3 linked regions of the Rattus norvegicus genome follow. The protein of the gene in region 2 binds, or shares a complex with, the protein of the main gene of each other region. Links are inferred from orthologs where the notes say so. Each region holds a gene or a part of one and is shown on either strand. Other genes may lie near its edges.

The links.
Region 1: the proteins of Ptpn22 (region 2) and Csk are in contact, whole or in part, in an NMR structure (PDB 1JEG), measured with the Mus musculus proteins. The link is inferred for Rattus norvegicus from reciprocal best matches to the Homo sapiens genes PTPN22 and CSK. Residues at the interface, in NP_033005.1 of Mus musculus: Pro614, Pro615, Leu616, Pro617, Glu618, Arg619, Thr620, Glu622, Ser623, Phe624, Ile625, Val626, Val627; in NP_001291690.1 of Mus musculus: Phe20, Thr23, Gln26, Ala40, Val41, Thr42, Lys43, Asp44, Asn46, Trp47, Ile59, Pro61, Asn63, Tyr64.
Region 3: the proteins of Ptpn22 (region 2) and Pstpip1 are in contact, whole or in part, in a crystal structure (PDB 7AAM), measured with the Homo sapiens proteins. The link is inferred for Rattus norvegicus from reciprocal best matches to the Homo sapiens genes PTPN22 and PSTPIP1. Residues at the interface, in NP_057051.4 of Homo sapiens: Ser793, Lys794, Pro795, Gly797, Pro798, Arg799, Asn800, Pro801, Pro802, Trp805, Asn806; in NP_003969.2 of Homo sapiens: Thr225, Arg228, Asn229, Trp232, Asn236, Ser239, Met240, Cys242, Val243, Asp246.

Annotation. Positions count from the first base shown.
Region 1 is NC_086026.1:66,927,399-66,931,571, forward strand, and holds the start of Csk (tyrosine-protein kinase CSK), read right to left. Parts: upstream 2,877-4,173; 5' UTR 2,830-2,876; coding exon 2,815-2,829; intron 2,489-2,814; coding exon 2,375-2,488; intron 2,263-2,374; coding exon 2,150-2,262; intron 1,861-2,149; coding exon 1,641-1,860; intron 852-1,640; coding exon 758-851; intron 565-757; coding exon 499-564; intron 419-498; coding exon 319-418; intron 227-318; coding exon 136-226; intron 1-135. UniProt on the Homo sapiens protein: Non-receptor tyrosine-protein kinase that plays an important role in the regulation of cell growth, differentiation, migration and immune response.
Region 2 is NC_086020.1:194,072,234-194,075,877, reverse strand, and holds part of Ptpn22 (tyrosine-protein phosphatase non-receptor type 22), read right to left. Parts: intron 2,432-3,644; coding exon 2,360-2,431; intron 2,277-2,359; coding exon 2,217-2,276; intron 1,602-2,216; coding exon 1,459-1,601; intron 896-1,458; coding exon 829-895; intron 1-828. UniProt on the Homo sapiens protein: Acts as a negative regulator of T-cell receptor (TCR) signaling by direct dephosphorylation of the Src family kinases LCK and FYN, ITAMs of the TCRz/CD3 complex, as well as ZAP70, VAV, VCP and other key signaling molecules.
Region 3 is NC_086026.1:65,419,580-65,423,223, forward strand, and holds part of Pstpip1 (proline-serine-threonine phosphatase-interacting protein 1), read left to right. Parts: intron 1-92; exon of another isoform or gene 93-282; coding exon of another isoform or gene 283-291; intron 292-2,411; coding exon 2,412-2,512; intron 2,513-3,327; coding exon 3,328-3,402; exon of another isoform or gene 3,403-3,644. UniProt on the Homo sapiens protein: Involved in regulation of the actin cytoskeleton. May regulate WAS actin-bundling activity. Bridges the interaction between ABL1 and PTPN18 leading to ABL1 dephosphorylation.

The sequences.
Region 1 (4,173 bases), on a different chromosome or scaffold from region 2:
AGAAAACTGAGGTTTGAAAAGGTCTTATTTAAAGTTGGCCAATAAACGACTGGCCAGGCCCGACAACTTCAAAGCTCAGCAGGGGCAGAGTGGAGGGGCTGTGGGACAGGCAGGTTGAGGCTGAGGAGCACCTACCTTGGCCATGTACTCTGTGACGATGTAGAGCCCACCCTTCTCCTCCACAATCACACCCAGTAGCTGGACTAGGTTGCTGTGCCGAAGCTGCCTGTGGCAGGACAGGGTGGTCAAGAGTTCAGCTTGCCCATCCCCCGCCACACTCCACCCAGGCGGCCTGCTCTTATGTCCAGCCCAACTCACGTCATGACAGAGGCTTCAGCCAGGAAGGCCTGGGCTGTAGCATCATTCTTAATGCACTTGACTGCAACTTTGTTGCCTCGGTAATCCCCCAGCATCACATCTGTGGGAGAAGCAGGGGTTGTTTCCTGGACTCTTGGGGCTCCCCCACCTCATCCCCCCACCCCCACTCCCTCAACTCACCTCCAAACTCCCCCTTTCCTATCGTCTGTAGCAGCTTCAGTTCCTTCATGTTCAGGGCCCAGCCACCTGGGGACAGGGACCAGGAGGGAGGCGGTGTGTCAGGGAAGTGAACAGCTAATCTGAAGCACTTGAGATGATAGGCACAGGCTAAACTGTTTTAGATGTGGGTGTCTGGGGTTTCCAAGCCTCTAGGGTAAGGGCAGAGGGCCCGGGTGAGGGGAAGTGGGCAAGTGGGAGATCGGAGACATTGTGCACTCACTGCGGTAGAATTCATCTTGGGCCGCCACTGTGCCCTCCATGACCTTTGGTTTGATGAGGCGAGTGCAGAGTCCGTCGGCATCTGTGGTGTAGTGCTGCAGAGGTGGGGCAGGCCCTCAGAACCAGACCTACTGGGCCCCATTTCTCATTGACCCACGCACTGTTCAGGTCTGACCACCAGAGGGCAGCAGAGGCCATTCCACACAACCTTGAGCTGCTTTGTGCGGAGAGGGTTCCTCATTTCGAGAAGGGTATAATGCCTGTCCATTTCCCACATCGCCCTATCCACACTCAGCTCCTGGACTCCCAACTGCCACTACTGCTTTGGGCCTCACCAATATCTCAAGGTAGATAGCAAAACCTGCCTGCTCCCTATACCAGCCTCTACCAGGTGTACTCAGGGCCAATGTAAGCCAGAGATGAGAACGAGCTTGGAGGGAACCTATAGGTATCTGATGCCAGATATGGCCTGGCCAGAGCTGGGTGGAGCTGCTGTTGGAAGCATCAAGGACCTGTGAGTCTCAAGGATCCTGACGGCAGTGTGCAACCCAGAGGCTCTGAGTGCTGGAAGAAGTGAGTTCCGGATCACACGAGTGCTTCCCCTGCACAGATGAGGGGACCTTCACTGATCTGAACCTTTGTGTCCTTATCTATAAAATGGGGATACCACCCTATTTGTGGGCCTTTGGGGACAGAACTGAGCTCTCTCACACAGGTGGTGCTCCACACATGTGAGGAACCTCAGACTCAAAGAAGCCATCAACATGTCCAGGTCACCCTGCCAGGTGAGCTGGGTCTGGGTTTGTCCTAAGTGTCCTCAGGTAGACTCAGGCGCGAGTGTACGAGAAGGGGGCTCACCCCGGGCAGGCATGTTCCCCACTCACCTCCACCAGCTGCATGAGGTTCTCGAAGTACACCTCCTCATCAATGCTCAGCTTGCTCGCGTGATACATGATGCGGTAGTGCTCCACCTTGCCTTCACAGCTCACACACAGTGTGTAGTCCCCAGGGTAGTTGGTGCTTTCCCGCACCAGGAACAGGCCTGTCTCTGGTGGGTAGAGAAGCCGCTCCGCCTGCTCCCGTGTGATCTTGCCGTGGAACCAGCTACGGGTGGCAAGGCTGGGCGTCACCAGGGTGCTGACCCGGAAGCTTCCGCCAGCCTCCTGCACACACCTTCCCAGAACTCCCAATCTAAGGGCGTCATCTTCTTCCTGTACCCCTTTTTTCCTTCTGCATCCATTAGCTCCAGCCTCTGGCCCCATCCCTAGAACGCCCTCACCTCACAGCCCTAACTCAGGGCTGTTTTGCTCTGATGCCTTTCCAGGAGGACCACTGCCATTTCCTCTTTCCCCCAAACCAGGAGACTGCAGCCCTCCGTCCTCTTGGTACTCACGGCATAAGGCTGAGCTTGGTGCCTGCCTTCACACCCTCACGCTTCTGGACATAGTTGGCTGGGATGATGCCCTCACGGCCCACTTTGTTTTTGGCTTTGTACCAGTTGGGGTCCTGGAGAGAGAACAACACAGACACACTCTGAGGCCTGCCTCCCTCGGCCAAGCAACCAAACCCAGAAGAAACCCCTGGAGGTGATGGGACAGGCATCGTAGGTCCCAAGTACCTTGGTGACAGCCACAATGGTGAGCACATCTCCTTTGCAGAAGGGAAGGTCTTGCTCGGCAGTGCCATGGAAGTTGTACTTGGCAATACATTCTGTACCGGATGGCCAGGAGGCCTAGAGGATAAGGGACAGGTGTCGGTGCAGCCTGGGGAGCTTCTCTACCAACCTGCCCGAATGCCCCTGAGACCAAAGCATCTTAGCTAACCTCCATGAACCTGGGGAGATAACTTCTCCAGAGAGTTCTCAGCCCTTCTAGCTCAAATTCCTCTGTAGCCCTCTCTGGGGCCCTGTGCCCGACAGAGCACACTGGAATTAGTGTTACTTCACACAAAGTCCTGACTGGGATGGAGGGTTGGGCATGGTTGGAACAAGCTGCTCTTAGTACCTATTCTTTGTCTGGCCTGGGGAGGGCAAGACATGGGACCACAGCCTCACGATACCTGTATAGCCGACATCTTCTGAGATCTGGCGTCCCCGTGCTACAGGAAGGCCGGTCTGTTACTTGGTACCATTAGAGCTGCGGGAAAAGAATCAAGTTGAAGATGAGATGACCCCCACCCTGACTGTGATCATCACTTCTTCCTTAAAGGAGTGCAAGCCGTGGTCCGTGACATGTGGGTCCTGGGCTGTTCTAACCAGCCTCAGGTAGACACACACAGACCTAAGAGTCCCAGAGGGGTGCCTACCAGTCCTTACAGGCCCCACAGAATGACCAAGAAGGCCAACGAGGCCGGGAAGACTAGAGGGGAGGAAGTCCAGGGAAACTCTGAAACCGGGCAGGTGCTATGTGGTCCAGGAAAGCTTGTCCTGAGGCCTCTATACAGACAAATGTCTGTGTTTCCTTCTCAGCACACACCCAACAGAAAAGAGCCCGTGTCTACCAGGAGGGGCAGGTGCTCTCCCTGGTGTGCTTTATAGTAACTGGCAGATCAGGAACTGCCCAAGTGCTGAAAATAAAGTAGACAAGGTAGGGAGAAGTCACACAAGGCAGGCAGGGCCCTTCTGTGATCACACGGTTAGATGGCAGGCCCACCTGAGATGGGACAGGTGAGGTCTAGCCTTTACTTTATAGCTATGTATACTACGAATGGAAGAGGACTTTCAGCGTGAGTGCTGTTATATATGAGCAAGTGCATGCACACCTGCACGCACACACATATGCAGGAAGCACAGAAGCTGAGCCCTTAAGACTTCAAAAGGTAGAGGATGGGAGCCAGGGATTGACCTTAGTGAATGGTGGTTCCCTGGAATGCTCAACAAGGCTCTAGGTTCAAACTCTAGTACAAGGTATGGATCTGTACGTTTTAAATCCATGAGCAATCAAGCAAATAAATATTTGTTAGAAAAGCAGAGGGAAGAGGGTGAGGCAGAGGGATGGCTAGTTGGAGGCCAGCCTAAGCTATATGGTTAAAAACTTGTTTTAAAAGAAAATGGCCAGAAAAAATGACATAGAGAAGCTTAGGATATTAGGATATTAGCTTCTATTAGATATTAGGATATTAGCTTCTATTAGATATTAGGATATTAGCTTCTATTAGATACATGCACACAAAACACCAACACACATAAAAATGAATGAATGAATGAATGAATGAAGGAAGGGAGGGAGGGAGGGAGGGAGGGAGGAAGGAAGGAAGGAAGGAAGGAAGGAAGGAAGGAAGGAAGGAAGGAAGGAAGAACTGGCCTGGGTAGAAGCTGATGAAGCAAGGCTGAATCAATCTGGGCCTCTGTGACCCTCGACTTGCTGAGCCTATCCCAAGCACCCTTGTCTGTCTGCCGTATGAGAAGGGCTCCAGTGG
Region 2 (3,644 bases):
ATGCACCACTTTAGTGTCTATACCCACAAAGGATAGAAGAGGACATTGGACGCCCTTTCCCGGAGTTATTGATGATTGTAAACTGATATGTGGGTACTGGGAACCAAATGTCTGCAAGGGCAGCAAGTGATCTTAACCTCTTAATCTCTGGCCCCAAGAATGCATTTTGAAGATGAATACAGTTACTTATAATTTTCACCGTGATTTAGAGCAGTGGTTCTCAACCTTCCTAATGCTGTGACCCTTTAATACAGTTCCTCATGTTGTAGTGACTCCAACCATAAAATAATTTTCATTGCTACTTCAAAACTGTAATTTTGTGGTTAGCATTGTAATATTTGGGCTTTCTTGTGGTTTTAGATGACCCCCATGTAAGGGTCACTGGACCCCCAGACAGGTCCCACAGGTTGAGAACCACTGATTTAGAAGCTGGTGTTGTCTTAGAAAAGGCTGATTGGTGTAATTCAGAACGATTTTACATGGGGTGATCAAATGTCGGACCAGGCTTAATAGATGTTATCTGAGGTTTTATAAAATAAAATAATTTAGAAAATTAAAAGCCCATATTTTAAATTTCTCATTTCCTAATAGACATAAAAACTCCTCTCTCTCTTGCTTTTTTGCTCCTGCTCTGTCCCCTTTCTCCTGCTCTCCCGGGGACCACACTTTAAGAACAAGTGAGGAACTAACCCAATTATATGACAGGGTAGATTTACAAGTGACTCACTTCATAAGAGAAAATGAGTTGTGAAGATGTTCCGAAAAGTGGAATTCTGCAACCCTGATACAGGCAGTAAGAAAATAGGAAGTGCTTGCTGGGAAACTCACCCCATCTTTCAGCAACATCCATGTATAATCAACAGCACAAATGACCCCCGTCCTTCCGCAGCCGGCACTGAAATGGGAGATCACAGCATGTGTATTTGCTGACAGAGATAACGGACAATGGTTGGAAATCCCATAGCAGATTTGAAGAGAAAGAAAATGAAACTTCCTATCCTACCACATCCTAGAACCTGTTCTGTCATGCCACGGTGGACCTTAGACAGGTATTGGCAGCCTCTCAGCAGAGTTTCCAGAACGAATGCTCATAAGTAACTTAAGAGAAAGTTTCGGGCCAGCAAATGTCTCAGCGAGTAATAACTCATGGTGCCTTTACCTGAAGATCCCAGTTCAAGCTCCAGAACCCACATGTGGAAGGAGACAACCTCCCCAAAGTTTGTTTACATCCCCACATGTAAGCTGTGACGCATGCACATGGGTGCACATATGTGCACACAAACACACAATAACAATGTAAAGGTATTAATTTAATGTACCAGTTGGATTTATAATAGATTGTTTCAACTCTTGACTTTCTCTTTGAATTGCCTCTCAGCCAGAGCCTCTACTGTTTTCTGTTTTTGCTGTTGCGGTGGTTGTTTTGTTCTTGGTAAAGGCTCATTCCCTGCACCTTACCTGCAATGAATGCATAGAGGAACGCAGTCGTCTTCTTGGTAACACCGCATATCCCAGATGAGCTGAAGGATAGGGTCTATAGAGGAAGGCACATCATGGTCCGGCCAATTCTTATAATGAAACTGGTAAACAATTCGAGTTTCCTATTTTAAAAAAATTAACGAGAATAAGAGAAGAACTTGAGGTTAGGATTCTACCTCATTCTCCCAAAATAATAATCTGACTAAGCACTACCTATAACCTTTTTAATTTTTTTCTCCTGTCCTCTATATAGCTCTCAAGCCTTATGAAATATGAGGATGTTTTCCATTTTCTTATCCCTAACAACCCCACCCACACAAAAGGAGATAGACATGGCCATAGCCAACCAAATCTCCCTCAAATTAGAGTGTCCCAAGTAGGTCTCAGACATGTTGATATATTGAATCCCCTTGCCTTTTTGCAAGTCAGAGTAGAGAGAGTCTAAGGCATCAAGTTGGTCCTTAGAGTCTAACCACTGTTCATATAACCTCTATTCATATTACCAATATCAATTTTTATGTGCCACAGTGTGAAACAGATTAGGGGCAGAGTCTATTATGAGTATGAAGACCTACTCAAGACATCAAGGGCCCTGCGCCCCCCATGGCCCCATGCCTAGCCTGAGTCGCTCTCTCTCTCTCTCTCTCTCTCTCTCTCTCTCTCACACACACACACACACACACAGAGTTACCCGTCTCTCTCATCTCTTTGGTTTATTATTCCTGCTCTATACTTACACTATTGAACTTGGCTTTCAGAGTCCTGATTTTATAATCAGATTTCTTTTTCTCAGTTTCCTAAGGAGAAAATTAAATTATTAGCAATTTCAAAGGCATGCTTTCTAAAAAGCTTAGCCATAATAGAAACACATCATACTCACACAGGATATAGAAAAGGGGCCAAATTGCAGCTGTGTTTCTCCTGGCTCAGCCCAATAACGCTCACACTTTTTCTGTTGCATAAAAGAGAAGGTAATGGTTTCCCACCATATAGTTTAATCCCTCCTACAAAATGAAACCCACTCCCTCATTCAGAGCAGCTCTGTGTTCTTCATCTTAGGCTAGGCACAGCTAACCACCTCGGACTTCAGCTCCAACAACATGATAGGGAATCTCCAAAGGATAAAAGACAGACATTAAAGGATGTCTGAATTACAGACTTCCTAGAGCCTGAAAAAGTAGACAGCCATTGTTGACCTATTTTCAACATCTCAGAAGAAGGAGGAGGAGGAGGAGGAAGAGGAGGAAGAGGAGGAGAGGAAGAGGAAGAGAAGGAGGGGAGGAAGAGGAAGAGGAGGAGGGGGAGGAAGAGGAAGAGGAGGAGGGGGGAGGAAGAGGAAGAGGAGGAAGAAGAAGAGGAAGAGGAGGAAGAAGAGGAGAAGGAGGAAGAGGAGGAGGAGGAGGAAGAGGAAAAGGAGGAGGAGGAGGAGGAAGAGGAGGAAGAAGAGGGGAAGGAGGGGAAGAAAAGAAAGAAAATTGAAATCGTTGACTAAAACAGCCGCACCAGCTAAGTGCCAGATTCCCTCGATTGTGATTAGAATTCCCAACCTGGAATAGCAGCACTAGATTAAAACAGCAATGCAGTCACATGTTTAGGTTTAAATATCACATTTAAAAATGAATACAGGTGAAATTTATTTTAGCCCAATATGCCAAAATAGTTAACATATGATCCAGTGTACAATAATAGTACATATTTGCTTGCCCGGTTATTTTAATAAAAATTAAAATCCTATGTATATTATATATATATGTATATATATATGTGTATATATATATATAACACACCTTAAGTAGAATACTAAATTTTCACAGGAAACATTTTTATTTATAGTAAATCAAGTTAATATTTGGAAAAATTTCACATACCCCAAAATAAAGTTTTCTCTTTTTTAAAAGATTTATTTATTTATTATATATAAATACACTGTAGCTATCTTCAGAAGAGGACATCATTACAGATGGTTGTGAGCCACCATGTGGTTGCTGGGATTTGAACTCAGGACCTCTGGAAGAACAGTCAGTGCTCTTAACCACTGAGCCATCTCTCCATCCCAAAAGAAAGTTTTCAATAACTGAAGTGAAGGTTCATTTTTAAAACAGCAATGCAGTTTAACTAATTAAAATAAAACTATTGACTCCTTTCACCATGCAGAGACTCAGCTA
Region 3 (3,644 bases), on a different chromosome or scaffold from region 2:
GAATGCTTCTTTTCTACCAAAGTCTATCAGAGGTGGTTGGTGTGAGGGGGAAGGAGGAGGGGAATAGGAGTGGGCAGGGATGGGAGGCAAGACAGGCAGCTCTGAGGGACTAGACACTTCCTTAGAACAGCTGGGTCACTTGTGACTATGGCTCATTCTGTCTGATGCCACAGCGGCACACAGGCTGGACGAGAGTCTCTGGCTTACGGCAGGTGCCGTGGGGACTCTAGCGCCTGAAGACCTGGGCCACAGAGGGCCTTTCTGCCTTTTCTGTTCTCCAGCATGGCAGGTGTAAGTCTGGTTTGCTTTTCCTTTTCTTCTCTGGGGTTCAGAGGACAAAATGATCCCTCGAGAGAGTCAGGACTGGGTGGGCATGGGGGCAGGAAACAGACTTTGGTAGCCTTCGCTGCAAGTTTTCCTAAGGGGCACAGCAGAGAAACAGGCCCCTGAGGAGGTCTAGCTTCTAGTTTGTAATATGGCCCCAGGGAAGCCCTTCCTTCCTTTGGGGCTCACTTTCTTTTTAAAATTTTATTTATTTGTTTTACATATATGATAGTAAATACACCACTGCTGTCTTTAGACACATCAGAAGAGGGCACTGGATCCATTACAGAGCCACTATGTAGTTGCTGGGAATTGAACTCAGGACCTCTGGAAGAGCGGCCAGTGCTCTTAATCACTGAGCCACCTCTCCAGCCCTGGGTCTCATTTTCTTAAGGGTTGAGGGACACTGGACAGATCCTTCACAGTCTGGGGTCTGTGGTTTTATGGCCTGAATGCTTACATCCAGTTCAGCGACCTCACGGGGAAAGGTGGGGTGGGGGGGTGGGGTCTGTGGCATCTGACTCATTTTTTCCATGCTGCTACAGGCCTTGACCTGGGAGTCCCCAGGGGAGGCAGAGGCCGAGAGTGAGAATCTGATCTTAGCTCACAAAGAAGTGGCTGCCCTTTAAAAGATTTTAAACTAAAGGAGTCTGGCTCAGGATGGTGCAGACTAGACTCAGCGTTGGGAGATACCTACCTCAAATGGGCCTGCAGCAAGTCGCAGGGCCAACTCTCTCAGGCTGGGGTCTCAGGCAGGCAGCTAAGGCCTAGATCTATGTGTCGGTGGCCTGTGTGCAGGAGTCCTGGCCCAGCTCTCTGCAAGGCTGCTCAAAGAAGGGGATGTGAGCTTAGGAGCTGAAATCTTCCAGAGGTTCAACATTTCCAAGTTGGCTGAGTGTGGAGACCATTTACGTAGGCCTCTGTACTCTTCCCAACATTTGATTGTCTGTAGACCTTAATGTAGCCAAGCGCCCCCTGCAGGAAGCTTCCTGGAGATGTAAGCCAGGATTTCGTGGATTGTAGGCAACCTTATCTCTAAGCCATACTTTCTGCCCCTTTCTTGATTTTTTTTTTTTTTTCTGGAGCTGGGGACCGAACCCAGGGCCTTGCGCTTCCTAGGCAAGCGCTCTACCACTGAGCTAAATCCCCAACCCCCCCCTTTCTTGATTTTAACTCCATCGTGCTTCCCACACTCTCATAGTTTGAGGGGAGCATGGGCAAGAGTCAGGTTAAGTGTGGATAAGCCCTGAGGGACTTGTTGACCTCTGACCAGGCTCTGTGGGTGGTTTCGGATATGCATTCAGGGAAGCTGGGGCTGGGGTTCCTTTCAATCACGGGGGCTTTGAGAGGATCCGAGAGAACAAAAAAGACAGATGAGGTAGGTGCCAGATCTCTCCTAACCACCCAAGGGTGGAGAGTCGATGAGGCCTCCAAAGGGAGACAGATGTCCCCCACTCTCTTCCAGGATTTGTGCCCCACTGCCTGGAGTCAGCCACACATTAGGGACCCAGGGGAGCTGCAGCAGGAGCTTCCATGGACTTCTTCCTCTGTCCTCTGGTTGCCCACACTTGTCTGCTCAGACGTGCTCAGAACCCACTAGTGGGGAACATGGATGTCAAGTTAGTCAGGGGTCACCTGGATTGTCTGAGCAAGGCCTAGGCACAGGCCAGCTGCTTCCCAGAATTCCCAGAGATGTCCTTTCACCCCCGGTTAAGAGATGACTCACAGCTTGGGGTGCTGCAGACTGTGAGCCAGGCAGCTGGTGTTCTGCAACCATCTGCTTGTCACTTTTACTTCCTGAACCCTCTTCCTCACTAGCTAATGACATAATATCACAAGGGCATTCCACGAGAGAGAACTGGGGGGCTGCGGCCATCATGGAGGCTCAGTGAGGTCCTTCTTGTCCATCCAGTGACTTGTGTCTTCGACTCCGGAGGGCTGATGCCAAGCTCAGCAGCCCCTGCCCAGACAGCGGTGGTTCTGGGTGAGGCTGGGCCCTGATCTATGCTCCACCTTGAACAGGGACATGGAGGACAGAGAGAGACTGTTCTCAGCAGGGCTCTCACGATGTCCTGTGTGTGTTTCAGTGCAGGGACTTCACGGCCCACACAGGGTATGAGGTACTCCTGCAGAGGCTGCTGGACGGCAGGAAGATGTGCAAGGATGTGGAGGAGCTGCTCAGACAGAGGTAAGCATGGCCGGGCTGGCGGTCAGGGCAGACGGGGCAGACTACGCTCCCTAGAGCCCAGCTGCCCTCGGGATGGGTCAAAAGCCAAGAGCCAAAGGTGAGGAGGTGGCTCAGTGGGTAAGTCACTTATTAAGCACACGTGGGGATCTGAGTTCAAGTCCCCTTCTGTAGGAAAAAGGGATCCAGTGTCAGGAGACTCCACTGAAGCTCATAGCCAAGAGACCCTGTCTCTGCAAAATATAGTGTAGTCATGTACGAAATTTTAGAGGGGAAGGGGCAGAAAAGTTGACCTTTGACCCCCACGGGTGCATTGTGTACTCATGCACACATGTGCACCTATGCACCTGCACTCATGCGCTCTCTCTCCTCTCTCTCTCTCTCTCTCTCTCTCTCTTTCTCTCTCTCTGTCTCTCTCTGTCTCTCTGTCTCTCTCTCTCTCTGTCTCTCTCTCTGTCTCTCTCTCTTTGTCTCTCTCTCTCTGTCTCTCTCTCTCTCTGTCTCTCTCTGTCTCTCTCTCTGTCTCTCTCTCTCTCTCTCTCTCTCTCTCTCACACACACACACACACACACACACACACACACACACACACACAAAGCCAGAGCCACTTGTCTTCCGTGGCCCTTAGGCAGATCCCCTGCCGCAGCCCTTAGGAGAGGCCCGTTTTCAATTGACATTTATCCCCAGAAATGGAGCTCAACTTTTTCAGGGAATGGTCTTGCCGGCAAAGTATGATGAGAGAACCTGGGTTCTGCACATATTTTGGGGCTACGGCCAGCCGACAGGGGTGAATGACAGCGCTTGCTCTGTCCTTTCAGGGCCCAGGCGGAGGAGAGGTACGGGAAGGAGCTGGTGCAGATTGCGCGCAAAGCTGGTGGCCAGACAGAGATGAAGTAAGTCCTGGCGGCTCCTGCCTTTCCTCTGAGAACCTTCTGGACTTTACTCAGGGCTTGGGACTTTCCGATGTGGCAGGCTGTGGGTTATGGAGTAGCTGTTATACGTCAGGGGAGCTCAAGAACTCAAACTGCTGGGTGATCGGCTCCTTTAACGCTTTGCCCCACACCCTCCCCACAGGCACTTCCTCCAGGAGGACCTCCTGGTTTGCCTCATGTCAAGAACTTGGTTCAGACAGGGC